4 linked regions of the Styela clava genome follow. The protein of the gene in region 1 purifies or fractionates together with the protein of each later gene. This does not show direct contact. Links are inferred from orthologs where the notes say so. Each region holds a gene or a part of one and is shown in the gene's direction. Other genes may lie near its edges. The genes, in order: FACT complex subunit SSRP1-like, uncharacterized protein LOC120338085, ATP-dependent RNA helicase A protein-like and casein kinase II subunit beta.

Region 1 (7,831 bases):
CACATGCTCTAGTGGGATATTTTCCATGCAAAGGGTTTATCATGCCAAATTTTTAGTCTCTGCTTTTAAATTTCTTTCTTATACTTGAGCTTGACATCTTTTGCCATCTTGTTTGCACCTTTTTTCTCAGTTAAGAAATTAGTAACACCAGTTTTCTTCATAAATTCATCAGTTTTGTTGAAGATTGAAACGCCTATTTTTATTTTTATCGAAATCTCGCACGATGCGCATTAGTGGATCTTCTGTATCGGTCAAATATATTTTCAGTCCTACAGTAGATGGTTTGTAACTTTCCTCAATTTGAATCAGACCTCGTCCACCCTTCGTGATAAGTACAAACGTTCAGTGTCTGCTCGAGGATGATGTATTTTATTTATCGTCATTAGTTTTCTCGTTTTGGTATCAAATTGTTTGATTTCTTGCTTAGTCCACTTGATGATATTGAAACTGTACGAAACTACTGGTATTGCAAAACTGTTAATTGCCTTGAAGATGTTTACAGAGTTAAGTTCACTATTCAAAACCGATCGAAGTCTTCTCAAATATTCCTTTTTGATAATTTTTTCATGTCTGATTCCATCAGCTTCATGTACTCCAAGGCAACGATATGTTGAATCGCTACCGAGTTCTTTTATCGAGGTTTCTTGATCTAATTGTAAATTTGATTCTCTAAATAATTTACCTTTGCGAAAAGATGCTTTTGCGCATTTCTCGAGGCCGAATGTCATTTTGATGTCATCACTGAATGATTTCAAAGTTTTCAATAACATTTCAAGTTGGTTATCATTTTTAGAATACAGCTTCAAATCATCCATATAAAATAAATGAGATATTTTTTGTTTCAAAATTTCGTAGCCACAACCGGTTTCTTTCAGCAAAGTGCTAAGCGGGGCCAAGGCAAGGCAGAACGCAAGAGGTGAAAACGAGTCTCCTTGAAAAATTCCGCATGAAATCGAAATGGTGTCACTTTGTATCTTTCCGTCATTGTGCCTCAGGATCAAATTTGTTTGCCAATTTTTCATTGTAATTTTGAAAAAAGAGATTAGGAATTAGGATAGGTGACAACTTGTAAATTTCGAATACCTTTAAAAGCCAAGAATGCGGTACACTGTCAAACGCTTTTCTGTAATCAATCCATGCGGTACTCATGTGTTTTTGATAAGTTCTGCAATTTTCCAAAATCATTTTATTTACTAGTAGTTGGTCTTTGCATCCATCCTTTGCGCCTTGAGTTGTATTTTCTGCTTTAGATTCTCTCTGATTACCGCAATATTACTGTGTAACCCATCTAATTTGTACCGATTTGTTATTTTCTTCATTGTTCGTTTATTAAGAATACTACCGTTTTGTATTTCTGATAAGATAGACAAATCTGCTCTCATTTGTTTAATTTGGCTCTCAATTCTTACTTTCCATTTTGCCTTGTAATTGTGCCTTGGTCCAGTGGGTTTCCTAATTATTGCTCCAACTTTTTCAGTAACCATAGTTGAACATGCATAAATAATGTTTGATATTTCAGTAACATCCAGATCAAATTCCAAATCTTGCTTCAAAAGGGCAATAGCTTCGTTGCCTTCTGCTAGCCAGATTTTAGTTTCTTTCGTCAATTGTAATTTTGGCAATTTGAGTCTGTTTTTAAAATCTTGTTGAGGTGAGTTTATGCATGGCAGTTGTAATATTTCTTGTACATTGTCACATAGGCCATTTTCGTCATGTACATTGTCATTTTGACTCATATCCCTTGATCCCAAGTATTTCTGTTTGATGGATTTCAGTTCTATATCTGTCAGTCGGTTATTTCAAATTATATCCCGTCGGACATTTGCAAGTCCATTTGCTTTCATATTTTGGACATTCAAAGAGTGGGGTCCTTCAAGCCAATTTGTAAGTGTTTGTTTAGTAATACATTTTGGGGAAGAGCTCACAGCTCTGTAGTACGCTTCCATCACTTGTATATACTCTTCACGTTTCCAACGATGTTTTTTAATTTTTTCTTTTCTTTCCGATATTTCACGTATGGGGCTCGGTTGAGGAATATCCTCTGTTGAGGGACCACTTATATCGTGATGTGAGAGTGTGTCAGTAGAAATACTGACAATGTTTTTTTGGGACCTTTTTATAGAGGGCGTCGCCCCAGCCTCTATGTAGTTTTTTTATGTCGAGTTATCATTTTAAATTTTACCTTTTTGGTCCGGGGCTGCTTATTGAATATTCACAGCTGACCTAGTTTTACCTAGGTGTTTCCCCTATCCGCCACCTTGGGGACCCAGCCAGTAGAGATGAGGTCGAACCCCCCTGGGTTATTATTATTATTAATTTAATTGTGATCATTTTAATCTGCGGTTGTGTTGACGAAATAAAAGCAATACTACTCAGAAAATTTCATGACAATCCGTGGACACAAAAATGCGTGGTAAAGTGCCCCATTATATTTTGCTTTGATTCGCATTTTTGTGGATTCGACAAATCTGAGCTGTTCTAAAACACTTACGGCGCTCCTGTACTGCACGTACCAATGTCGAGGCAGTAAAGCAAAGAATCCTAAGGGAAAATGCCCTGGTAGGTATACTACGGTAGCAGTGAAGCAACCAAGTTTTGCGATTTGCAAGCGTTTTTAATCGGTAGCGGATAATCATAAAACAAAAGTTATGGTGTTTTTCGTTTTATTTTTAGTATTACTTTTTTTTCAATTAAGGAAATTTGGGTTGCAACCCTCGACACCAGAAAAAAATTTATTCCTCGTTGTTCGAACTCGCTAGAAATATCACTTAGGACTTAGGTCATCTATCGGCGCGTGTTTTCGTCGGAAATCCGCAAGTGAGTTGTGAAATCCACTCGTTTGATTAAATTAAGCTACCCGCAAGTGACCTATCGCGTCACCTGTTACCAAATTTATGAATACTGTAGTTGAATTGCTATTCTAATACTTGAATATTCGAATATATGCCCAGCGCTACTCTGTAACCAGTGATTATTGACTCCATTAATGTTATGTGAATAAACTTGCTTGGTATGTTTTATGTAAATTTTAACGTAAATCGTAACTTGGCTGATAGTTAAGTTTTGCAAAATCGCTTGCGACCCGCAGTGAATTTCTGGCTCGTTACGGACTCATTCAAACGCTTCGCGGACTCATTTGAGACCGCGGGCTCGGGTTGGGAAACACTGATATATACACACACACAATATTATTTCTTCAGTGTACATAGCTTTAACGTAGTAGTATATATTTACGTTTTAACAGTCGGGGTGAAGTCGCTGTGATTTTTTACTTGAAACACAAAAACAATATCTTTAATAACAAGAGAGCTACGCACAAATATATGGACACGTTAGACCAGAGCGAATCAGTCTTTACCGGTACCTTTGACGCTACCGGTACCCTCAAAAAAGTTCTGAATTTTCAGTAGCAAGAATTTTGCAGAATCAAAACGTACAGCCAGTCATGACACTGACTAAAATCCGTGTTCCCATGGATAAAAAATAATACAGCAAAATTTTAGACGAAATATCAAATTTCATAGAATTCACCCAAAATATTGAAATAAATAAAAGTAATAGCCTTCTAGCGAAGAAATTAATCTTTAACCACTGAAAATTTCAAAGCAATTGGTCCTGTATTCGAAGAGAAAAGCGATTTTTTAAAAACGTGTCAAAGAACAACAACAACACAAGAGAGCTACGCACAAATATATGGACACGTTAGACCAGAGCGAATCAGTCCTTACCGGTACCTTTGACGCTACCGGTACCCTCAAAAAAGTTCTGAATTTCCAGTAGCAAGAATTTTGCAGAATCAAAACGTACAGCCAGTCATGACACTGACTAAAATCCGTGTTCCCATGGATAAAAAATAATACAGCAAAATTTTAGACGAAATATCAAATTTCATAGAATTCACGCAAAATTTTGAAATAAATAAAAGTAATAGCCTTCTAGCAAAAAAATTAATCTTTAACCACTGAAAATTTCAAAGCAATTGGTCCAGTATTTGAAGAGAAAAGCGACTTTTTAAAAACGTGTCAAAGAACAAGAACAACATAATATTGAAACGATCGTTATGTCCACTACGTGTCCAATAATATTGAAACGATCGTTATTGCCACTAAACGTGTCCAATAATAACTCTTACTTATACAGTTATACAGTATACTTAAGACTCTAACTATAACGGCTCAGCACCATACGATGGCGATGTGCTCGTTAGAGTGATTGGAATAAATAGCTCGTACAGGCACTTTATTTTTGATGACGCGGTTCTGTCTGAGTTCCTTTCAAAGTTCAAAATGATTGTCCAAAGATGTTTATTGTTGAGTCAAAAGTTGGTGAAATAGTAGTCAGATAATGGTGCAATAGTTGTCAAACAGAAATCCGGTAAAATACAGTGCTATTACACAGGAGGGACCAATAATAACTATACGAAACAGGAAGTAGAATTATATGATGTAAATTTAAACTACGCCTAATTAATAATACTAACCCCCCCCCCCCCGATTGATTAAGATACAAATTTATACGTCCTACCTCCAAGCGGCTCACGCCGAAAGAGATCCCGCCAACATCAATGGTCAGGGTTCGATGCCCTAAGTTACCGTTGCCAGTTTAGTTACAATAATAGCGGTCACTGTTTATAATCATGGCCGCTACACTAACTATACCGAACAAAACCTTGGTAACATATTACAGTAATGCGGGTCTTCTTTAATTATTTGTTGGAAACGACTTTTCAGGTTTCTGTAGAAAGTCTTGATTGTAGATACTTTTTCGTGAACTCTACAGATTCCGCTGGAGGACGCACCACTGTTCGCGGGATTTTCCCTCTATTCACTCCATGTACTGAAGGCTTCTGATCCAAAGTGACTATAAAGTGTTATACTATAACTTATAGTCACTTTGTTCTGATCTAACCAAGGTTGGCTTGAGGCTTTGTGATAGAGTTAGTCTTTACAACAAGTACCGGTACTTCTAGTTTTGCCTCATTGGTGAAGATCTAACTTTGGATTACTTCTGCTGTACACAAGTAAAGCTGCCATGTCGGCCAGCGTTTTGGATTACAGTGATATTTATCAAGAAATTCGAGGCGCGTTGGTGAGTCAATCATGGGTTGTCATTGTTAATCATTTTGCCTTTACTGCGCATAGCCATAGCTTCACTGACTGTCTTGTAAGGGAGGAATAGGTACTCACTCTTATAATTGATGTCTTTTAATGTGGGGGTTTATTCTTCAGTTCTTCGAATCGAAAACTTAGGTACCGGTATCTGATCTAGACTATCGGATACATGAGAAATTTATTCTGTGATATAGGGTGGTGTAGCCAGTCTGCGGACGATTTCATTCAAACCGCTATAAAACAAAAACCAATATTTCTAACCCGTTAATTTTTTCACCGTAGGTGCATTGGCATTTATTCTACACGCTGAACTTCGAATTAACTTTCTCAACCAGGGGTTAAAGCTATACAAACCACCAAAGTTCGACACTCTGAAGACGTATTTGCGACCGAACGACCAGTGTGCGACCACGGATTTCAAGCCTTGAACATCGTTTCTGCTGCGTCGAGACTAGGGCATACGCAGCCATGCGTGAAAAAAAGGGCTTCTAATTGCATTTCTGACCGCCATATATTTTAAGAACACGATTATTTCAAACAAAATTCTTCAAATTATAAACAAAGCACCGCATCACAGCAATCAAACAGACAAAAACACGGTGGTCGCAAATTAGTTGACAAAGATATTATTGACGTATTGGAAATGCGCACCCCCCTACTCCCCCTCCTTTGAAGATAGAAACGCGAAACTTTAAAGATGGGTAAAAGAAACACAACTCTACCCACCTGCCAAGTTTCATCTCTTTATCTCTTATATTTGTATGGATTTTCAAGCTTTTTTGAAGGAACAATGGGTAGTTGGCGACATGGTAAAATGGTCCGTTTTTTTTCTTCGGTCAGGTTTTCGGGCATAACTTTTTTATTTGTGGCCGCATTTTAGTGTAATTTCGTAGAGCTACGAGGGATAAGTGGACGATAACGCGTGAGAAATATCGGCGCGTTTCGTTAATTTTTTCGGCATTAATTTAATCGATGAAGTTGATGGTCGCAGATAGGTCATGGCCGCAAAGTGGGTAAGCCACCCAATCACAATAAAAAGTTTTTGTTTGGTGTCAAATGTGAAACAGTGCTGCAGTAGGCTATGCCATACAATTATGTGCGAGAGGATTTCTGGACTCCTTGCCATTATAGGGTGGTAACTGTGGCAAGCTGGTCAATTACCGTACCTACGGCTTCCTCCAACACCAAATTCATCCATCTCAAACAAATAATTGGCTAACTAATCTCATACTCGTCATGGACTCGTACGGTAACTAAACGAGATACTGTGGTTCACCCTATGATTGAGCCATCGTATCGGCTTTCTTCTCCTCCGGGATGATTATGCAAAATCTTATTATAACTGTGCCGTACTGACTTTTATTTCAGGGACAGCATTGCCTACCTAATTTAGTAACACCTCTGGTGAGGTGAGATCATGGGATTTGAACCAGCGATCTGTAACTTGTGATGTTTTCATATTTTTTTCCCAATGTTTTAAGCAGGACAATAACTTCATATGATATGGATATTTTATCGGTTTATAAATTTAAATGGTATTTATTTTTCAGCATGAAGGTAGACTCCGGCTTAACAATAATAATGTCGTTTTCAAAAATATAAAAACTGGAAAAGTTGAAACAATTCCACTATCCGACATAGAGAGTGTTGTGTGGAGAAGAGTTGCTCGGGGATATGAGTTGAAACTTGAGTTGACAGACGGACGTTCTTGCAAATACGATGGATTCAAAGAGGCGGTATATATCTTGCAAATATTTTATGCTGTATCATAGCTTAACTTATTTTCTGAGTACCGTAATTACATAGTGAAAAATTTGCATCCCCAATTAACCATTTTTTTTTTCTTTCCTGTAACGGATATGCTGGTATTTTCCAGTTATCATTTAAAATATGCAATTTTATTCCTGCTACAGCATTCTTGCGTTACACGCATACAGATCCACTGGCGCAAAGACATTGAGAAAGGATTGGGAGTTAGTCTCGCGCACCTCTACTGATAGTTGTATCATTTCAAACATTGTCAAAATTTATATGCTATTCCACCATGTTTGGGATATTATGATTGTTGTGTTGTGGTTATTAATACAATATCAATAACATACAAATTTCAGGAGTTTGAAAAGATCAATAAGCATGTGAAAAATAATTACAATGTTACAATTGAACAACAAGACATGTCTGCGAAAGGATGGAACTGGGGTGATACAACATTCAATGGTAGGCTACATTTTGTTTCAAATTTGTCATCATATGTGATTGAACTATCACTCTGAGTAAATCCATACACAAAAATGCACTTTCAAATTGGTTGTAATCGTAATATTTTCAAGAACTGGAATCTTAATTTTATCTTTAATATTTCATTGCACGCTAATTCAGGTAGCAGACATGAGATCTTTTAATAATATGATTGAAGTAATATTTTATGACTTAAATTATTTAAGAATATTCGGGCATTTGAATGGGTTGTTTTAAAGTATAACCTGTAATAATCGCTCACTTTTTGTCTACTGTTGTATAGAGACTTGAGAATGTCAATGATATTATGTTTAATTTCTGTTTTTTTAACGATATGAAAATTAAAAGAAGACTTATGACAATTTATAGGTTATGAACTACAGTTTGATGTTGACTCAAAAAGAGCTTTTGAAATTCCATTGCAAAATGTATCACAATGTACACCAGGAAAAAACGAAGTTTCATTAGAATTTCATCAGAAT
Region 2 (7,103 bases), on another chromosome or scaffold:
AGATGTAAACGGCAATGTTGTTATTTCAATAATTGGAAAACACCTCAATTTTTATGAGATTGATTTAGAAAAGTTTCTTTTATACCTCATTTTGACCTTTGACCCTATTGTGAACAATCCGTACACTGTTGTGTACTTTCACACGCAGACGCTAGAGTTCAATCGACCTACTTCAGAATATTTGAAGAAATTATACAATACTTTTGATTATCGCTATAAATCGAATCTTTCTAGATTATGTATGGTCCATACCAACACGATGATGAAAATTACAACTTGGATTTTTGCGTCATTTTCCGTCAGTGACCTCAAAAGTCGGATTATGAATATTCGATCAGTGCCGGAATTGTATAAAATCGTCCCACCGAATCAAATTGATGTTCCCCCGTTTGTGTTGACCTATGATATGAAAACGAATCCTCAAGCCTACAGTTCTTCTCCTACGAGAAGTCCAACAAATTCATTGGGACAAAGGAATGCAAAACCTACTAGAGTGTCAGACTTCAACCAAGTTGCCCATGGAACACTCTGACTTTATTTTCACGAAGGGCTGTTACTTTGTTACATGAGTTAGTTAGGCCAGTGGTTCTCAAACTTCCTTAATCCATGACCCCTTCCCAAAGACTATCAACACTTCATGGTTTCCCTGCTCTTTTCAGTATAAAAATAGTTTATTTTTAACAGGTTTTATCAGTTATTCGCTTCATCATGTTCAATGAAGCCAACAAAGGAAAGCAAACTAATAAATGCTTTACGTTCGAAGATTTAAACAATCACAGTTTATTTTCTATGTCTTAATGTGGCGAATGCTACCTTATAAAAGTCTTTGCTTTGGTCTTCATAGTACTTCTTCATGTAGGACTGTAAGGGTCCAATTTGAGTTTGGCCTATGTGTTATTTTGCTAAATCAAATCACTGTTTTTTTTGGGAGAAAAATCACTTATTATTCTTCAAATACTGGCCCCCCAATCTGATTTCCATGAAGTATAATTTCTCAGCCATACAATTGACAGCAACCATTTTATTATCTTTTTTAATCCTTGGTGCATTTTCATTGCAATTGACTTGAGATTTTTCCTAAATTTACAAGTTTTTTTGTTTCTATACTATTTTTCTATCAATGGGATTACGATTATGTTGCATGGACATATCTTAAGTTTAGTATATCTTATCCAAACTTGAAAGAAAACATGACGAAAAATAACAGCATTCTGTACTTGTAAATTATATTTGGTTTTTCTGGCCAGTCATGCACCATTAATTTTAGTAGGCTATTAGAGAAATTGCAATAGTTAGTAAATCAAGCCAGACTTCAGCTGCCCCACAAATGTTTTTAGTTTTAATCAACTGGAAATATTTTACTCGTTCACTTAAGTCGTTCCCAACCTTGTTTGTTAAACTAGCAATATAGGGTGTTCATAAAGTCTTCTGAATTTTTTTAAAATTGCAGAGGGTATTTATCGATACCATATATTGTTTTGCCCTCACAGATGTATTAAATGAAGTAAAAGTACTTGAACAATTACTGATTAACATACAACAATTTTGGTTAAGATATATTGAGAACTGACTTCATTACAGAATTGAAAATTGTAAAAGGAATTATGGACAACCTGTACTGCAGCACATACAAATTCTTCCCTAAGAAAGACAAAATTTCTCACAGGGTGGAAATTGAAGTATTTCTGCATATTGTTTCAGTTTGATAGTATAAAACCTCATATATTTTCAAATTGAGCAAATCTTGGATTGAAATAAGATAGAGCAACTGAATAATAGTTCAACCCAACTTTTTCATATGTTTGTTTAATGCAAAGTCACAAGTCTAACAGGAAAGTAACCAAACCTGATATTTTGTGTGAATCAATGTCCCCAAATATTTCTAAAAAATTTTATGTTGATCCATATTTTTTGTGTCAAATTATAGTCATATTAATTACCATTGTTGCATCATGAATAGTTTCATTATGAGCTGTGAACTTAAATCCTGTGACATCATACGTATCCAATTATTGTGCAATATTACATTATATCATGTTGGGTTCTGTAGTTTATACGTACTACACTCCTTTTTATCTGTGTTTGAGCAGTATTTGAATATTTATATTCATATCTAAATTTGCTTAACTGTAATGCAGTGGTTTCCAAATTGCGGCGTAATAAAGGCTCATGTAAGGATTTGATATGGCCCGCTGAAATAGTTCAACACCCCAATTGTTATGTCATCATCACAGTTTAAGCATGTGTATATTAGTAGCAATTCACTTATACCGGTATCTTAATTATACAAGCCGTTATCAACCTTTTGTGGGCGTTCCCCTTTCCCGCCCCGCAAATTTCATTCCGCTTCTAATTTTGGCCCCTCAGAATACAAATTTCTCTTTTTCTATGAAGACTACCGTATATGCTCGTTTTACTGCCCGATCTTGATTAAGGGCCCGTTTGAATAGCTGCCCGTGTGAACAGAACATAAAAATAAATAAGAGCCGGTGCTTGAATACCCACCCGATGTAAAAGCTGATTTTTCAGTGGTAGAGAACAATAGGAAATAAGAAGCGCTTTTGTCACAACGCTGTTGAATTTTGGGCGCCGGTAGATAACACTCACGCGTTAGGCGTCCGAGTACATAACAGATAGCATTGATTACATAACACCATGGTTCTCAAACTGGGTGTCGCGTCCCAAGTGCAATATTGATAGGGCGTCGCAAAGCTTTTCTTTTGCGGATTTGTACCTGCGGTCCGTAGAAAAAGTCAAAGTTTTCGTTGTTCTTGTTTAAATCATACTTGAGAACTGGAAATAACAATATATTAATTATTGTAACGATCGAAAATAACAAGCGCCCGTGCTTGAATAAGGGCCCGGTTAGTGAGTTGGTTGAAAACAATATGGGCCCGGGCTACGGAATGAGCAAATACGGTATATTCTGTTTTGCATTGATAGCCTTTTGATTAGGCCTTCTCATATTCTTATCATTTTCTGGCTCAGGCGCCAATACTATATTCTGTGGCATTTACGGCCTTTTAATTGAGCCGTCCTATAGGCTTTCTTTCCCCCAAAATAAAATGGGAAAAAAGAAGATTATAATTCAAGTTTAGGCTCCTTTACCATATTCTGTATTCCATTAATTGTCCTTCAATTGAGCCATTTTACACCTTTCCTCTCCTCAAGATATAAATTGAAAAAAGTGCTCTACCGGCTTTCCACCCCTCAGAATAATTATGAAAAGCAAATAATTCTGCCTTAAGTGCCGTTGCTGTACTCTATTCATTTTTTTTCTCGATTAAACCATATTATTTACTTTTTCCACTCTTCTGTCTAAATGACATAGAGTCTAATTGATTGTGATCCAGTGGTTCTCAAACTTTGTGAAACTTTCTCTTCTTAGAATTAGTCAAAAGTTATGCCCACCTCAAAAAATAATTTGCTAAAATGCAAGTTGTAGTAACAGTAAATAACATAAAGTAAGGCGAAAGTATGTTTTATTCAAAAAACATGTTGAAAATATGTGTACTTACTAAAGAAATGTATAGAATAAAGAAATATGAATATCAATATTAAGGCAGGCAAGATCAAACCTAACAAATATTTTTATCCGCAATTGGGCCATTCCAAGCAAAAGTTGAATTCCATCAATTTTTTTTCAAAAGTGTAGTGACACAAAGTGTTTGATTGTGTGATACAGTTATTTCATATGAAATAGACGCACTGAATTTAGGTTAATAAAGTTTAAATGTTTGCAGTGCTGTAAGACATTTCCTCACCCATTCAACGATTTATTACCAGAATTTTAGGAGAAGTTGCATCTATATATTGCATCTAACAACATGCAAAATTTCTGGAATTGTCATGTAGTGTCACTTGGAATAGCCCAATTAGCTTCACTCCTACTTACCCCTTGTGGGGTGTGCCACCATTTGAGAACCACTGGTGTGATCTGTCTACTATCTGTAAACCATTTCACTGATAACTTTGCAAGCTTTTATGTTAAAAACCTTTATTGACTGATTATAATCACTTTCTTATGAATTGAATGTAAAATTGTTTATTTTTTGTATAAAAACCATGATTTGAATTTTGATTTTGCATTTAAGACCTTTAGTGTAAAATTTATATATAATGGACGAAGAATTATTTGGGGAGGGAAGTAGCAGTGAGGAAGAGCATGAAGAGGGAGTAGAGAACACAACAGAACAACAACAAGAAAGTGCAGAAGAAGAATCAAGTGATGGCGGAGAGGAGGTTAGGAGTTGTATGTTGGAACATGGTATCCCGTCCAGTTGAATAGGGGATCACGATACCCATCAGTGATTTATTTCAGATGCATGGACTTGATGGTGGAGAAAACTGCAACTGACAAGCATTCAATGAACCACCCTACTACGGAGAGAAGTCTAGCAATCTTCTTGCACATAATTACTGCCACAAGATTAAACAAAATTACTCACGCAACGTTGTATAATAATTTTTGGTTACCCATAAAAGATTCATTGTTTTTCTATGTTTTAGGAGGCTGACCAGAATGTGGCAAGTGGAAGTGGATCTGAAGCAGAGTCAAAGGAAAGCTCGGCAGAAGAAGAAAAAAGTGGGGAGGAGAGTGCAGGCGAGCAGGAAGGTAAAATAGAGGGAAATGCTCTAATACAGTGGTTTCATATTTTCATGATTCGTGGCCCCATCGAAGACTCTCAATGCTTGGGACCCCCTTCTCTTCCATAAAAACATCTAGTTTTGCTTTTAACTGGTTCATCTGTTTAATATCAAAAAGCCAATAAATAAAAGTGAGGAAACATTTGCATTGCAGTCAGAGAATATAAAATTGCAATCACATTTCATGTGAATATTCCCTCAAATTAAAATAAAACAGCAAAATTTTTGGTAAAATTCTGAATTCTTGATATAATTTTCAGAAATTGAAGTCTCATAATATTGCCAACGGGCCATTATCTTGGAATTCTTGGAAACTCATAAGAGATATAAAACTAATCAAAATTCAGATTCAAACTTTGTAAATAAACATTGACTACTATGTGTTCTTTTGACAGACTTCAGAATATATTCTATTTTCCATGATTTCAAATTTTATTTTAGAATGCATTTGAACTCATTAATTACTTTGTTTTAAAATTTCACATGACATAACACTATCATGTTGTCGCGAAAAATGCCTTCAATATTTGACATTTCATTGCTCGTGATTGATTACCTATGACATAATAACTATAAATGTCAAAAGATAGTGGGTGTGAGTTGTGATAGCATAATGCTAATTAGCATTTGTTTATGACAAAACAGTCATGCATTAAAACTTTTAACCCCATGGTATTACGTGAATGAATGAATCTAAAATCATACGACAACGGGAAATGTATTGTTATGTGTGTGTACAAGGATGGCTAAAACTGAATTGAATTGAGCCGTGGTGACAATAAATTCTATACAGTAATGGCTTAGTAATGGATCCACATTTTATGATAAACTCTCCATTGTTTCCATTTCTTTCATCTCGTGCAATTTATGATAAACAGCTCAAGTTTAAACGAAGTTTATGTGTGTCATTCACTAATTTTTTAACCTTCTGTTACCTAATTATTTCGTGTCGTGGTCCCAACCCAAGTACAAATCTTTGCGTGTTTCATGAGATTTATTGTAAAAACATCAATTGGCGATTAATTCCCTATTTTCCCATTGGGGCATGGACATGTCATAAACTTACTATTGTGCATATCGTCGTTGTGTCGTACCTCTTTGTCTTGTGTATTAAACCAGAGTTTTATTTGTATATTTCATGTCTGTTGTCCTACTATAACGCAGCAGTCCTAAACTGCTGTTATACTTGTTAGGGGTGCTACACATCCGTGTGTTAGGCCAGTAAGGTCTTGTACACGTATCTCGTCTTTGTTTTACTGTTTAACTATTATGCAGGTACTGTTACATTTTTGAGGCAAGTAAACATACATACATACAACTATTCCAGCCTACATTTAAAAATAGTAGTATGTAATATTCCAAGTATTTTAAATGAGCCATGTTTAATTAAGAATATACAAAAGCCAATATGGTTGTTCAATGGTATACAGACGTTCCGTCCGTTTTTAAGCGTTTTAGCAGTGTTCTTGGTGTTTTTAGACGGTTTTTCACTGTTTTTAAGCGTTTTAGCAGAGTTCTTAGTGTTTTTAGACAGTTTTTCACTGTTATTAAGCGTTTTAGAAGGGTTATTGATGTTTTTAGACGGTTTTTCACTGTTTTCAAGCGTTTTAGAAGGGTTATTGGTGTTTTTAGACAGTTTTTCACTGTTTTTAAGCAGGCTTTCGCGCAAGCTGAAGTGAGGAGATACATTTATCAACAATGCAATAGTAAACCATGTTTGAAGTTAAAGTTTAACTAAACAACTTCATGTACGGACCTCAAGCAAATAAGTGATTAATTATACCCATACCCAACCTGATATCACAATAGGGTCATTTTTTTTAAACTTTGCTCGTCTTGGAATGAAAATCTTATTCGCTCATTTAAAGGTTTTTTAAAACCTATCATTTTACACAGCGAGTGATGAAGAAAATGCTGAAGAAACCGAAGACAAAGAAACTCAAGAAGCATCAGGTATTTATATTACCGGTTAAACAAACTTAAAAAATATTAGTAAAACTACACACAAATATAGAGTACACCCCCCCCCCCCAAAAAAAAAAAAACATTTAGATTTAGATAGATGACTGTAGGGAAACGCTGCTGAGCCCGATTTGTTCATAAGAAATCTTAATATTCTCAAATTTGTTTCAGGCAATGATAGTTCTGATGGGGAGGAGGAGGCGGAAGGGGCTGCAGAGGCTTCAGGGGGAGAAGAAAGTCCTACAGCAGCACAAGAAGAATCTGATGAAGGTGGGAGTGAAGCTGGAGGGGAAACCCCTGTACACTCAGATTCTGATGGTGAAGCAGGTCTGTGCTGGTTTTGTGCTTAATAATATGATATTGATTAATATTTTGTAATACTTACGAGAGGCAAAATCGGGCCCAAAAATTTCAGCTCGGCCCAGGTCCGCTGGTATTAAACCCGACCCAGCCCGAGCATGACTAATTAACTGGATTTGCAGGCTTGAAGCAAA
Region 3 (7,145 bases), on another chromosome or scaffold:
AGTTGAACTCTAAAATTTTTAAAGTGAAATTTGACAAAGTCTACTTTTTTACTCAACTTAACTGATCAATAATATAATAATTCAATTAATAATTACCATGCAAATCGGCCTAGTAGAACAACTGTTCCTTATAGTCGCTTACTTTGTTGCTTTGTTCTCTTTTTTAAATTTGTCTTGTTTCTAGAAAAATATGATTAGTTTCAATTTCATTTATTTGTTTATTCTGAAAATTCGTAAATGTAGCAAAATGAGCTGTGTCATTGAAACAAAATATACAAAAAACAATACACTATCCTGATAGATTTTCTATTGTAAATTGACACAACCAACGAGCACGACCGATAACAAGCTTTTAGTTAGCCTTAGTTTTCATTTACTTGGAAATGAAAAAAAAACTGTAATAGAAAGGATAAAATCAATAACACCTGCTGTTATTAATTTTGAAAATAGTATAACAATATTTTAAAGCCTACTATAGTCTCAGTGATCCAGTCAATTGGGTAAGCAAATTCAATGTACTGTTGCAATGCATTGATAAAATTATTACTTATATGTATTGAATTCTTGAAAAATAAACACGTCAAGAATGTTTTCACAACAAGCCATTGAAGAATCATCTCGGCCCGCTTTTTCAAATTTGAAATTAAAGTAGAAAAACATTTTATAAATTATGTCGTATAATTAGCGAATTATTAATTAATTAGTGATGAGACACGCGGTGTCACTATAGAGCCATGAATCGAAACCGCAGTTTCGATCGATAAGTCTTCGGTCTCCGACCGATATTATCGTTTATTGATTGGTGGTGAACATAAACTTAAATTATATTCGATTTATGGAGTCTATTTAAAATAAAATAAAAAGTTTTTTACAAGGTAAATATTGCTAGTTCAAAGTGTTTTGGCGGGTTATCTCTAAGGCTCCGACCAGAGATTATATGCTATTTCAATGGCCAGATAAGCTGTAGATCAGGGGTGTCAAACTTGCGGCCCGCGGGCCGCATGCGGCCCCAGAGAATTTCCAATGCGGCCCTCGAACGCCTAACAATAAATGTAATATATATTTTGTTACCTAAATGTAATACATTTTTCAAACCCTAAAGTGAAACTGCTTATTCACACAGAAAACGACAATTATAACATTGGAAAATTGAATGTTTTTGTTTTCAATTTGACACAATTATGTATGGATACACCTCAAGCTAGCAAAAGAATACTTGTAAAAAAAACACTACGGGAATTAAATGAAACACAAAGTACATGAAAAAAGTGGCAATTTTAAATAAAAGGGGAGTTGCAATATTTCTGCATTTCTCAAAATTCTAAAGCGCATTGATCAATTTTTCACGTTTCTATCAGTAAAATGAAAGAATACAATATGAGTAGACATCATCAGAATAAGCTCAGCAGTCAATATGACAATTTTAAAGATCAACTACGAACAGAAAATATTTATGTGTTTGTATACTATTATGATTATACCATACTTAGTTACTAAATATCAATATCAATCATAACTCAACCGGTCCTATGCCACGTGAAGGTAGTGGCGGGAAAAGTTTGGTTCTAAAATTTGTTTGTTTACTGATCTATACATGGAATGATGAACGTAATATTTTTGCATTAATGAAATTAATCAAATATTCTCAACGATCCAGATTAACCGATGATCATGTGACCTCGTTAATCAGAGTTGATACTGTAAAATCATTTCAGCCTGATATTAGTAAGCTGGTGGCACAAAAGAGATGTCAAAAGTCAGGACATGTTCAATAAAAAACATTGAGTTCATTCTGTAGCAATATTGTAAATTTTAGATCTATATATTTAGATTAAGTCATTTTTAGTGTATGTATTATTCTTTCCTTATCAAAACTTTGTTCAAAAATATTTTGGATAGTTATACATAAAATAAAATTTTTGTAATAAATACAGTAAATTGCAAAAATAGTGAAATGCAAAAATTAATATGTAAATGGTATTTAAAATTTAAGAAAATAACAAAACTTCATTTGACTGTTTAATTGCATCACAGTATATGTCACAAACTACACCTATTTAAAATATGCTTCAAGTATACATTATCAAAATATATCAAATCTGTTTGCGGCCCTTTGCACAATTCCCAAAATGCAATGCGGCCTTCAAACCCACGAGTTTGACACCCCTGCTGTAGATTATCTATTATATAACATAAGCGTGTAATATTTACCCCTGTGTAACGACTATCGTCGCATGTTTGCAAACGTAAATTCCCCAGTCTATAGTCGATATTTCTTTGTACAACAATGATCCACACAATTGTCAAACCATGCAGTATATCTACCGGTAAATATAAATACTTGATAAATAAATATATTCACACAATTTTTATTTATTAAAATATATATGTAATACGTTTTATATAAAAGGATTCGCATAGACCTTCAATTTTGTACAATGAAATTTACACTAATTTACTCTAATAATTGGACGCTATATGAAACGGGTGTTGCTAACGTGATATTCATAGTAGTACCAGGAACAACGAAAAGACATTTTAAAACATTGGTTGCAATTGAGCGTATGGGAATGGAACTTATATACTGCTATCGACCCACATTATGAATGCAACAGATTACCAAATTACAAATGTGTATAAAACAAGAAACATTGTGCAAAATGAAAAAAGTCTAACTTATTCGGGTAACCAAGTCCCACTTGATTAGTCCGTACAACTTTGTATGCCCATCTAAATATATATAAAAAAATTGTCTCACCGGGGAATCAAACTTTGGTTTAGGTTTAAATTGGATTTCATAAAAGATTGTTCTTTTATCTCGGAAGTTCCTTGCTTCAACCTTTTTGATTATGTTGTTTATCTCGCGATTATCGACACTTGAAATCTTGATTTGCCGGAACCCCTCAAGTTTTATAATTCGCTATTTATAAAACATAATACCAAAAGTAGCAGAATTGTACCAGCGACTTAGTATATATATATATTTTTTATCAAAAAACATCTGCTTACCTTAATGTTGTAATGTTGCGCCAAAAAAAATTAAAGACTACGGTACGTTGAAAAGCTCCTACAGAACAGACAAACCGTTCGTCATTACTAACTCCAGTGAATGGTTGAGAAAAGCGAAGCGCACATTCCCGCTCAAACTGATTAGCGATATCACATTATTAATTAACTGTGATCAAATTAGAAAACGGTCGAAGAAGAGGTAAGTAATTACTCGGACGATCCCTTGGCCCGGCGATATCATGTGTTTTTTATGGTATACTCCATGTTGATGCGAATTTAAAAAATGGCAACAAACATTGTTGCATTTTGATAGGCGTATGGTTATAAAATAGCAATCATAATTCTTTGATTATGTTATGGTTTAAGTATGTTACTCTATTTCTCCTTTCCCAACGTTAAATTGGAGGTCTTAAGATTATCTAAAAATCAGTGATATTTAAGGCAAACTTTTCAAATGATATAGTGCTACTGGTAATTTAAACCTAGGCATGTTCTAATAATGGGTTAAGCTCGGCGTGAGAATGATGCCGGACTGTACAGTACTTGACTTTATAATTTTCAGTACGTGAGCAGGGCTTGCAGAATAGTGCCCGAGTTTGTTATTTTCTGTGAACAAATATGGAGTCGTCGAATTATAGTTATAAACGCGAGATTTGACCAATGCGCAGTATGAGTGGTACACTGTAGTTACGGAGCGTAGTTTTATTCCCGTTTTCTCCATGTCCACAGCAATCCTAATGCGTAAATAAATTGTATTGTGCAGCGCTTGAATAAGACATGACGAATCTGGTGGAACTACGAACGAACTTTTTGAAAGTGACTCTGGCGGAGGTCACAAATTTTAGCCGAACAAAGTCCATTATCATGCATCGGAAAAAAATAACTGATATTTATAAGTAAATGGATATCGGTTATCATATTTTGTATATTTGAAAATCTCGCAATTCTCATAGCCGGCGCCTTCAGCTTCAACTTAAAACCTGCATATAAATGTGTAGGCCAAGCCAGCAATTTGGTGATTCGAGAAACCTTTACCATTTTTGGAACCATGTTTTAACTTGAAAGACTTCCCTGTTTTAACCACATTCTACAGTTCTACGTCCAAGTAGGCCTTAGTAGGTTTTAGTCCTTTCTATTTCTGGAATGGCTGCGAATACATTTTTCATACTGCTGTCTTCGCCAGCGTTTAATTTTCTGAATTAAGTTGACGGTTGAGTTGAACTAAACTGTATGTATCGGTATATTTCAGTATTTAGATTTTATTGTAAGTGCCTCGTCGTCAATTCATGCATTATGTCCGATTTCCCGTTGCAGCAACGCCAACGATCTCAACATTCTCAAAACCCTGCTTTTGCAAAATTTGTTAACAAAACTGATAGGAACGTTTCTGTTGAATGGCTCAACTTTCAGGGAAATCATGTTGTGTATAAAGACAGATTAGAACCAAGAGATTATATATTGATGGATACTTTCAAGACACATCCTTGGGTTTTTTATGAGAGTATTTGCAGGTACGGTATGGATGTTCAGAGTGGAGAGTACGGTACCGGTACTGGAGTAATTTCGGAAAATATGCATTAAATTCGTAAAATTCTTGTCATAGAATGTGGCAAGAATAATCTGCAATCTAGCAATTGTTAATACAGAGACTGAAAGATGATGCATGGATTGGTAATGCAATACTGCAATAATAGATTTTGTGAGGTTTCAAGGTACCGTACTTAACCCATCTCTGTACTGCTGTACAGCAGTGTCTAGTCTACCTAAATGCAGAAATGTCTTGTGGTACATTGCAGCGTTGGGTTAGTTGTAGTCTATGACTCTATTCCATGTTTAGCATTTAATTATTCTTCATGACCCTACTATATACCGGTATGTCAGTATGTTAGAAAACATTATTTGCGATTATTGATTTCAGGCATTAATCTGTTAGCCGGTATTTTTACCTTCATTTTTAATTATGGTTACGGTAATTCAGCAATTACCTACATTATGCATGAACTGTATCATTGTATAACCTACGGTAATTTCTAAATTTACGAACCACTTTTCTGCATTTAACTCACAGCCAGATGAGAGATTATGGCAAAATATTTCAATTTCTCAATTTTATCTTCATTTTCAAATTGGATTTCCATTGTGAAAATATCAGTTTTGCTGAAAGAACGGTACTCTCGACGATCTGAATGTTAAAACTACATTTTTGATTTGAATTCTGATTAGACTAATTTCTTTGAATATAGTCTAGTATTGTAGTAGGATTAAATATTATTTAATCTCCTTCTTTGCTTGAGAAATTTATTCATATTCCTGCATTCACTCTCCACTCAAGAGTATATGTTTTTTTTTTCTTCAGACATCCACTCACTTTCCTTCCTAACTTTGAGAAAATCTACTTTCCTGTTGAATGGAGTGGAGAACATCAAAGATTTCATTCCGTTGAAATTGTGAATCCTCTTTTGAATTTAAGGCAAATATGCTTGAACTACTTGCACCGTTACTTGGTGGTAAATTGTGAATATACCTCTATTGCTACATTTGACTCGAAAGTTGATCAACTCTTTGATGGATTACCTGTTGTATTAGCTAATGACTTGAAACAGTTATCGAAAGATCAGGATAATAAAAACCTTCCTATTTATTTTGAGGGAGATTAGTATCTATAATGTACAGGTCAGGATACCTACCTTAATACTGTTTACGGAAAAAATTGGCTTGAGATCTTTGGTACTTTAAATATTTTGATTGTCGTATACTTAATCTCTAATGTTTATTTGATTTTAATTTTAGAACATAAGATTGTTGTATGAGTATAATATCAACTAGTATTTATTTAAAAAACTTACATTTCTGACACAAATTTTATATAAAATGATTTTAGACTCGGCAATTCTTTCTTAAAAAACCTATATATTAATGTATATTATATGTTTTATAAAGCTGATGCTTGTTTTTATTTTTTCTATTCTAACATTATGCAAAAGTCTTCAATTTTTGTACCTTTCATTAACTGTCGTTTATTATGCACTCCAAACCTATTGTCCGAATGTTCCTAGTGAGGTAACATCTCATTAAGTTTCTAATGCAAATTTGGTGATGCTACTTGATTTTTCCGAATTGAAATTGAAGTTTAATGTGTTTATTGGTTTTGAAATGTAAAGCTAGGTTTCTTCTAAATAAAAACTATATTGCAAGTATCTTGTCAATACCTTTTAATATTATTAGTTGAATATCGTAAGGTCTCTCTGTAGTATGACATTTTTTCATTATGACTGAAGTCAAGACATTTGTATATTCATGGCTTGGAAAACAAAAGCTAACTCCAGTTTATGATGTTCAAGCTGGTGGCAACAAGTATAAACCAAGATTTAAATGTGAGGTAAGCAGAGAATATCGTTCATTGCATTTTTCAACTGAAGTGTCAACTGTCAAGCCATTTACTACATTTGTGGTGAAATGAATAAACTTATTATTTGCCACATGAGTGGATTGGGATAAATTTTGCTCCATTAATGATGATTTAACTTTAACAAAGCCAATTTGGTAATAAGGAAAAACTATTTATATTGCCAATGACATGCAGTCTTGAGTTGCTTTGAATATTCGAGTGTTTTTTTCATTTCTGTAATATGTAAATTGCTTCACTGATTGGATTTGACTATTTTAGACATATAATATGAAAATATAGTAAAGTTTATAATTCTTTAGGTATCAAACTTAATTTATGTTCAACTATTATTATTATTTTTAGCTCAGAGTTGATACAATACCTTATGCTGGAATAGGAAACTCAACAAATAAGAAGGATGCCCAAGCAAACGCTGCCTGGGATTTTGTTAATTATCTTGTTCGAGCTGGAAAAATGAAGCCTTCTGAAGTACCCCCAAAATCGGTTCGTATTTATATCTATATAAATACATGATTATCATTCAAGGATATTTTGTTTTTTCTCTTATATGTTTTGTCCTGTATTATATCCATTCGAGATTTGAAATTTATACAGTAGTATCTTTTGTCACTAGCTGGAACCTAAATCTTGAACTTGTTTAAAAAAAATGACAAAATGCTAATTTCTTTAAAAAATTGCCATGAAAAAATAACTTCACATGAAAATATGATGGGGACTACTTGTACAT
Region 4 (7,335 bases), on another chromosome or scaffold:
AAGGATTTCAAAATGAAACAAGATCAGACAATATCATACACACAAATCAATAGCAATCCTCAGACATAAGTAAAGTTGCTATATGGTAATATAATAGTTTGGTTATTGAAAAATTATCATCTTTATCAATTTTTTTCATCAAAGCATGTGCTGACACCTAAAATGCAAATTATTATAGTATTGCTGCGAAAAATAACAAAGATCCTAGGAATTTACAACTGAGTTATATTTAACTAGGTTGAATCCTTTATTCAGGAATATCAAAAACTACCGTAGGTAAAATATCACATACATGATTTTATTCAATGTACATATTACAACAATTTGAACAAAAATTTATAAATATATATTATATAAATTCACAAGATGAGCTCCTACTCATATTTCCCTTCTTGTTTGACTGTTATTTTAACTTCATATACAATTCTATTGGCAAGATGACAAACCTCTGCATCATCAATATCTCCTGTGCCATTAACTTTCCTTGAATTGTTGTCTATTCTAAACACGTTTCCGAATCCATTCATTGATTTAGGTGACGTCATGGCAGATCCACCAACGCTCTTAACATAAAAAATTGATCAATTTCACAGTAGAACAGGAAAATAATGTTTATACATTTCGAAACGTAAATGCAATGTTACTTTCGATAAAACGTTCTCGATATCAATGTAGAAAAAAGAAATATAAGTTATATAAGAAATATTAAAGTCAAAATATTCATTCTTTGGTATAAATAGGCAACCAAAATATTTTGGATATAATATGAGAATATACATATATCGACTATAGTAAAATTTAAAAAATTCCAGGTAAAAACTCAATTGATATAAAACTAACTTCTAGCAACCATTAATAGAATTCACGAATTATCCCATTAATTTTAACTTATTAATACTCAATATTCACCAAAAATTACTTCATCCCAATCACAACAAAAATCTGTACAATTTCTCAAATGCCAAAAAAATTTGAATTTGAACTGTATTATAATTCCTGAATGTTAAATATTTAAGATATTGAAAATAACCATAAATTTTTGGCTAAAGCTGCAAGCATAAGCAGTCCATTTTGTTGAATATGATTGCCATTTTCTTTAAAGCAATATGATATATACCAAATAGAGGATCGAAATTTTAAGAATATTGATTGAATGTGGTATGGTTCATTTCTGATAATGCAAATATAGCAATAGTGAAAGCAATTCTTTGTGACATCGAGAATTATAGAAAAGTGTTAGCAAAATTGACACACGCACATATCAACAAGGATTGACAAAAAACCTAATAATATTGATCATATGAAAATGGTGATCTTTTTCAAATATAATCACATCACAGAGATATTCACAAAATTTGGCTCAATCAACAAAAAAGTTATAGCAATCTAACGAATTAATCTGCAATTAAAAAAGTTTTACCAGTGGTCTGTTTGAAAGTTCATCTTGTCCCGGGAGAGCACCGTTAGTTTCTCTTGCAAAACCGGGAGAGGTGGCTTTATTAGGAATTGTGATTGACATTCCTGCAAGATCTCTAGCATCGATTCCAAGTGATGTTAATGGAATACTTTGAGCAGGAAGATAATTGATCTTTCATAGAAAACAAGATAACTTTAATAATACTAAAAATGTGAAGTTATATATTAAAGAATTCAAAGATTGTGATATGTGTAGTGTATATAAGCACAGATATGAAATAACCTAACTAAAATAGATAAGGAGAACAAATTTACACTTTGTATCAAACAAATAAAATCTACATATATGGATTTTCAGATCACAATTAGTATATTATTAAGCGCATATTTTACGACTTGGGCTATTTTCAAGATAACTAAAGATGCAAAATCTTGTAAAAAAAATAACTGCTTGGGATAGAGATAGAATGAATTCAATTTTTCATCTGGTATAAGGAAATGTGAACTAGTTAATTTAATAAATTGGCAAATTGCAACTGTTATAGGTTGAGATTGGACTGTAAAATCAGCTACCAACTTCAGCATTATATATGAAAATGGCCGAGAAAGAAAGATAACATATAAAATAACAGAGTTCGTGCTGTTTTTATCACGATCAAGAATCCAATCCAACAGTTGCTATTCGTGACAACGAATGGATTCTTGTGCCTTTCTAATATTTCATAACAAATGTGAAGCATAAAAATTTTAAAATATTGTTCAAAGAAACATACACTTGTTCCTCGAAACATAGCAGGCCGAGTAACCCATTCTTGAAGTGCTTTTTGTAATCTTCTAACATGCAATGGTTTGCAAGCCATTCCAACCAACGCCATAATTTCAAGAAATTCTTCTTCTCCAGCTTCACAAAGTTGCTGCACATCATCGCCACCTAGATTTGTGGTCGATAATAATTAGTTGAAATACAAAAGCACTTTCCACAAAATCGAATTCCATTTATATGTTCATTGTGGTTTTGCGATCATGATGAATCTACAGCGATAAATTTAATTGTTAATATTGGAAAGATAAAGTTGGGTCTAGTATAGTTTAGTACCACAAGTAGTTCCAGTGGGCAATCCTAACCCCCACTTGACTACGTCACCGAAAAATTACGTCATTCCGACGTCAGAGTGGCGTAATAATAAGGCCCACCGAAGTATGCGGATGGTCGTCCAAAACGCGCAGACGATAACCCCGAAATCGAGCAAGCTATTTCTCTCGTTTTCTCGTCGCAACGATCACGATAGGAGAGAGATCGCCGGCTTTAGCAAGTTCTTATCGGCCGCGCAGATGCCATTCCGGGCGATCGTAATCATACTTTGGCAATCCCTATGACATGATGGTGACGCAGTAGTGATGTAATTTTTGGATGGCATAGTCAGGTGAGGGTTAGGAATAACATATGCAAAAATCGTTATGCTACGCCCACTGGAAGTACTTGTGGTAATAAACTATACGGGTCTCGTGTAGTTTCTTACCTAACATACTTCTAGTGGGCGTAGCATCACGATTTTTGACATATCAATCCTAACCCCCACCTGACTATGCCATCCAAAAATTACGTCACTACGACATCACAATCACGTCATAGAGCTTGTCAAATATACATACTATCGTCCGAAATGGCATCGGCGCCGACGATAAAGAACTTACTAACGTCAGCGATCTCTCTCATATTGAGATCGTTGCGACGTAAAAAACGAGAGAAATAGCAGTTCGGGTTCGCAGACGTGCGCGTCTTGGATGACAGTTCGTATAGTTTGAAGGTCTCTATTACGTCACTGTGACGTCGTAGAGACGTAATTTTTGGGTGGCATAGTCAGGTGGGGGTTAGGATTGACACATGAAAAAATTGTTGTGCTACGCCTGCTATGAGTATGTAAGGTAGGAAACTACGGGACCAACTATACTAGACCCGGATTGACATATGCAAAAATAATTGAGCCAGGCCAACTAGAAGTGCATGCGGAACTAAACTAGTCTATACCAGACCCCAAAAGTTGACTGTAAGCATAAAAATTAAAAATAATCTTCATTATAAAAAAAGTTGGAAGCTCGGGTGGGTCCGGCGAACTTATTTCAAGCGCAGCATGTCTGCATGTAGGGAATATTTTAGACCATATTTGTATATTGTGAGAATTGTAGGTTTAACATTAGTAGTAGGTGATTTTATAATGCAGTACAGTCCGACAGTACGGTACCTGCAGTAATGCAAGTTGTTCGCAAACTGGGCAAACACATGACAAACTTTTAAATATAGAACAGCCTGGCAAAAGTTGATGAATTGTATATTCACTTACCTTGTGAAATAAATGTTTCGTAATAGGATAACAGGTTCGCTCGCTGCAACACTTTGAACAATTGCAACTCTCCTAGCGTCGAAGGCTTTGTAGTACTCATGATTACAAAGCCTGTGGAACTACGCAGTCAAATCGGCAACCTACTACCTCAAGTTAAACTTCCTGGTTTGTGGATGTTTGAATGGAAAGTTAAGATAAATAAAGCGAATGCAAAACCATCGGAATCCCTCGAAGCGCGACTGAACGCACAACTAAACTGCGTCGCATCTTTGATCGGATGAGACATCTCGGATCGATCAAGAGAAGAAGGGAATCACAGAGAAAAGTCGGCGTCAAAACAACCCGCGTGGGTCCTCGATGCGATCGCAAAACATTTGACAGATAGAAAGAAAGACAACTTTTAAATTAGATCGCCCATTGATAAGAAATGAAATTGTAAAGTAATCGGTTTTAAAAATTAGTCTGAAACTGTAAAATAGCTTAATAGAGTGATGGTTTTGAAGTGCGATCTGTAACATGAAAAAAAAATTAACGAGAGATGGCAGGCAAGAGCCAAAACCATGGTCACAACTTCAGAACTTCCATCACTCTGCGTTGTTTGGCTTGGAGTTTCAAGTGGTTTCCTGGGATCGTCGAGGTAATTCCGCTTATTAACTACATAGCTTTGTTTAAAGGATCTTGGTAATTATTTTAATGGGTCGTAGGCTAGTTCTTGCTTAGCCTGAACAAGCATTAAGATATTTATTTGAACCACTCCTATGGCTGTATCGAAAATCTCAATAATACTGTCTGACTGTAATATAAATATGGAAATGGGTGAAGTTATATTATCAACTTCTGATTGTATCTCAGCATGTCTATAGCTCCTGAATCAGTTTGATTTTATTCTTCTGAGAATTATCATATACGGTTAATTACCTACCTCAATAACCTGATAATGTTATACCGGTAACGCACGTGCTGATTTTAATATACTTTAATTTGTGCTATTTGTACTGCCTTGTCTTCTACGGTTCTTATTCATTTTCTATATTGAGCCCGGTTTCGATATTGTGGTAGGCCTAGATCACAGCGCAGTACAGAATAGGGTGGTATAGCCAGTCTGCGGACGATTTCATTCAAACGGCTATAAAACAAAAACCAATATTTCTAACCCGTTAATTTTTTCACCGTAGGTGCATTGGCATGTAACTTTCTACGACCAGGGGTTAAGCTATACAAAGCTTAATTCTTCTTAATTTCTTAATCGGAAAAGAAAGATCTTTTATCACAATTAAAGGTATGTTCGTCCCAACATGTGGAATCACTCTTTCTCCCTCTCTCTGTATATATAAGCTATACGCAGCCATGCGTGAAAAAATTAGGCTTCTAATTGCATTTCTGACCGTCATATATTTTAAGAACACGGTCATTTCGAACAAAACTTGTCAAATTATATACAAAGCACCGCATCAAAGCAATCAAACAGACAAAAACACGGTGGTCGCAAATTGGTCCACAAAGATGTTATCGACGTATTGGAAATGCGCACCCCCCTATTCCCCCTCCTTTAAATGTAGAAACGCGAAAAATTAAAGATGGGTAAAAGAAACACAACTCTACCCCCTTGCCAAGTTTCATCTTTTTATCTCCTATATTTGTATGGATTTTCAAGTTTTTTCAATAGGAAATGGGTAGTAGAAAAAATAATCCGTTTTTTTTCTTCGGTCAGGTTTTCGGTCGTAACTTTTTTGTTTGTGGCCGCATTTTAGTGTAATTTCGCAGAGCTGTGAGGGACAAGAGGACGATCACGCGTGAGAAATATCGTTGCGGTTCGCTAATTTTTTCGACATTAATTAGATCGATGAAGTTGATGGCCGCAAATAGGTCGGGGCCGCAAAGCGGGTAAGCCACCCTATAATGTAACCCATGTCCTCTAAACTCATAATTCTGCTATAAATTGTTGGATCATGGAACAAAATTTTCCTATAGTTATGTTGTCGCAACCAATTCTGACAGTTTATTTACAGCTTAAATGCAATGGCAAGGAGCCTTGATGATCTTCGACGGTCTTGCATACTGACCTGCACAAAACACAAAACAATGTGTAAACAATGTGTGCTATGGCCAACTGGATTGACCGTTGTCTACAATTCCAACTCTGCTAGTAATGGAAGTCATTAAGGAATTACGGATCGGTTGTTTTATGTCAAATCGCTTAGTACTAAAATATTTTGAAATCACACAAGGGAAAAGGTACAACAGGCACAATGGTATTTGAAAGGGAATGAACCGTTTTATAATGATATATTCAAAAATTCTTAGGCCATATCACACCCAGTAAAATTGTGATGTTACACTGCTGCCTTGGCCCGCTGTTATTCTGTAGGCAACACTTTAGTTTACAAGGCCGGATACAGGATATCATAATATTATCTGGATGTCAATTTTGCATCTAACTAAATCTTTACTTCGTTCATGTGATTCATAATACCATTGGCACGGGGTCGGGGATATGGGAATGGTCACATTGAGGGTGATAGAATTATGCAACAGAGGTAAAGTTGCCATTTCTTTCCAACCCTCTGCAATTGATTACTGACGATGAACTGTCTCATTTGTTATATAATATAATAAATATTAACCACTCGCCCAATAAAAAATGTATTAATGATCAAATTACATAAGGAATCATTAGCTGTATAACCATAGTATCGGTAAAGTAATCTTTGGTATGAGTCTTCAATTTGTGTGTGAATTGAAGACTGGTCAGCAAATGATGTCGTACCGCTCTCCCAGTTTAAACAAACTGATATACAGAATGTACTGCCAAGTATTAATCAAATTACTTGCCATAAAACCTGCTGTGTTCATTTTATTCAAGGGAATATCACCAATTTTACTTGGTGTACCAGAAAATACAAAAAAATAGTTCGATAAGTGATGATAAAGGCCGCTGGAAATGATTCTAGAGAGAATATTCTCCATAATCAAACCATAGTTGCATGACATAATGATTTTAGAATAGCTAATGAATGCTTTACAATAAACAACATATAAAGGTTTTTAGGAAGTAGTGCCAAACACTTTGAATTTTAGCGAGGACCATTTTTATAAATAACCAGTAGCTATCAGCGAATGTTTATGGAAGACTGAATCGGTGTTTGTTATTCTGCTACCAACATGTATTGAATGAAAGGGTTAATATTTCCATAGTAATCTCAAACCATATATAAGCACATTTTCCATTTTTTCTTGATGGTTGGATTGCTTGAGCCAAGTTTCCATTTGCTGTAGTCTTTTGTTCTTTTCTTCACTGTAATGATATAATATTGATTTTGAGGTGATCATACAACATTATGCTGCCTATAATCCAAATAATGTCATCAATTACAAAATGCTTATGCCTTACTGTTAGGATTATCCTTGTATCACTATATATCCCCAATATTGATTTGGTTTTGGATACAATACTGTGTCCAATTAATATAATTCTATTAACCGGTAATGAGAAATGCTCATCTCATAGTGTAGTTGTATTTACGTTAAGATTTTCATGGGTATACAATTTATTAACGGGATGTGCCAACTATAGGTT

What was found.
Region 2: the proteins of FACT complex subunit SSRP1-like (region 1) and uncharacterized protein LOC120338085 fractionate together in Homo sapiens (co-fractionation; 3 studies listed by BioGRID and IntAct, with this or other methods). This does not show direct contact. The link is inferred for Styela clava from reciprocal best matches to the Homo sapiens genes SSRP1 and LEO1.
Region 3: the proteins of FACT complex subunit SSRP1-like (region 1) and ATP-dependent RNA helicase A protein-like fractionate together in Homo sapiens (co-fractionation; 3 studies listed by BioGRID and IntAct, with this or other methods). This does not show direct contact. The link is inferred for Styela clava from reciprocal best matches to the Homo sapiens genes SSRP1 and DHX9.
Region 4: the proteins of FACT complex subunit SSRP1-like (region 1) and casein kinase II subunit beta fractionate together in Homo sapiens (co-fractionation; 5 studies listed by BioGRID and IntAct, with this or other methods). This does not show direct contact. The link is inferred for Styela clava from reciprocal best matches to the Homo sapiens genes SSRP1 and CSNK2B.

The regions. Positions count from the first base shown.
Region 1 is NC_135254.1:10,881,945-10,889,775, reverse strand, and holds the start of FACT complex subunit SSRP1-like, read left to right. Parts: upstream 1-4,823; 5' UTR 4,824-5,031; coding exon 5,032-5,088; intron 5,089-6,661; coding exon 6,662-6,847; intron 6,848-7,222; coding exon 7,223-7,328; intron 7,329-7,718; coding exon 7,719-7,831. Other genes in the region: uncharacterized protein LOC144422860, read right to left, coding at 306-1,022. UniProt on the Homo sapiens protein: Component of the FACT complex, a general chromatin factor that acts to reorganize nucleosomes. The FACT complex is involved in multiple processes that require DNA as a template such as mRNA elongation, DNA replication and DNA repair.
Region 2 is NC_135250.1:1,320,417-1,327,519, forward strand, and holds the start of uncharacterized protein LOC120338085, read left to right. Parts: upstream 1-4,101; 5' UTR 4,102-4,119; coding exon 4,120-4,242; intron 4,243-4,509; coding exon 4,510-4,615; intron 4,616-6,543; coding exon 6,544-6,600; intron 6,601-6,780; coding exon 6,781-6,936; intron 6,937-7,103. Other genes in the region: ganglioside-induced differentiation-associated protein 2-like, read left to right, coding at 1-532. UniProt on the Homo sapiens protein: Component of the PAF1 complex (PAF1C) which has multiple functions during transcription by RNA polymerase II and is implicated in regulation of development and maintenance of embryonic stem cell pluripotency.
Region 3 is NC_135252.1:13,018,564-13,025,708, reverse strand, and holds the start of ATP-dependent RNA helicase A protein-like, read left to right. Parts: upstream 1-4,140; 5' UTR 4,141-4,520; intron 4,521-5,365; 5' UTR 5,366-6,277; coding exon 6,278-6,388; intron 6,389-6,760; coding exon 6,761-6,901; intron 6,902-7,145. UniProt on the Homo sapiens protein: Multifunctional ATP-dependent nucleic acid helicase that unwinds DNA and RNA in a 3' to 5' direction and that plays important roles in many processes, such as DNA replication, transcriptional activation, post-transcriptional RNA regulation, mRNA translation and RNA-mediated gene silencing.
Region 4 is NC_135252.1:9,253,751-9,261,085, forward strand, and holds the start of casein kinase II subunit beta, read left to right. Parts: upstream 1-4,322; 5' UTR 4,323-4,395; intron 4,396-7,335. Other genes in the region: NGFI-A-binding protein 1-like, read right to left, coding at 447-563, 1,421-1,588, 2,190-2,347, 3,759-3,858. UniProt on the Homo sapiens protein: Regulatory subunit of casein kinase II/CK2.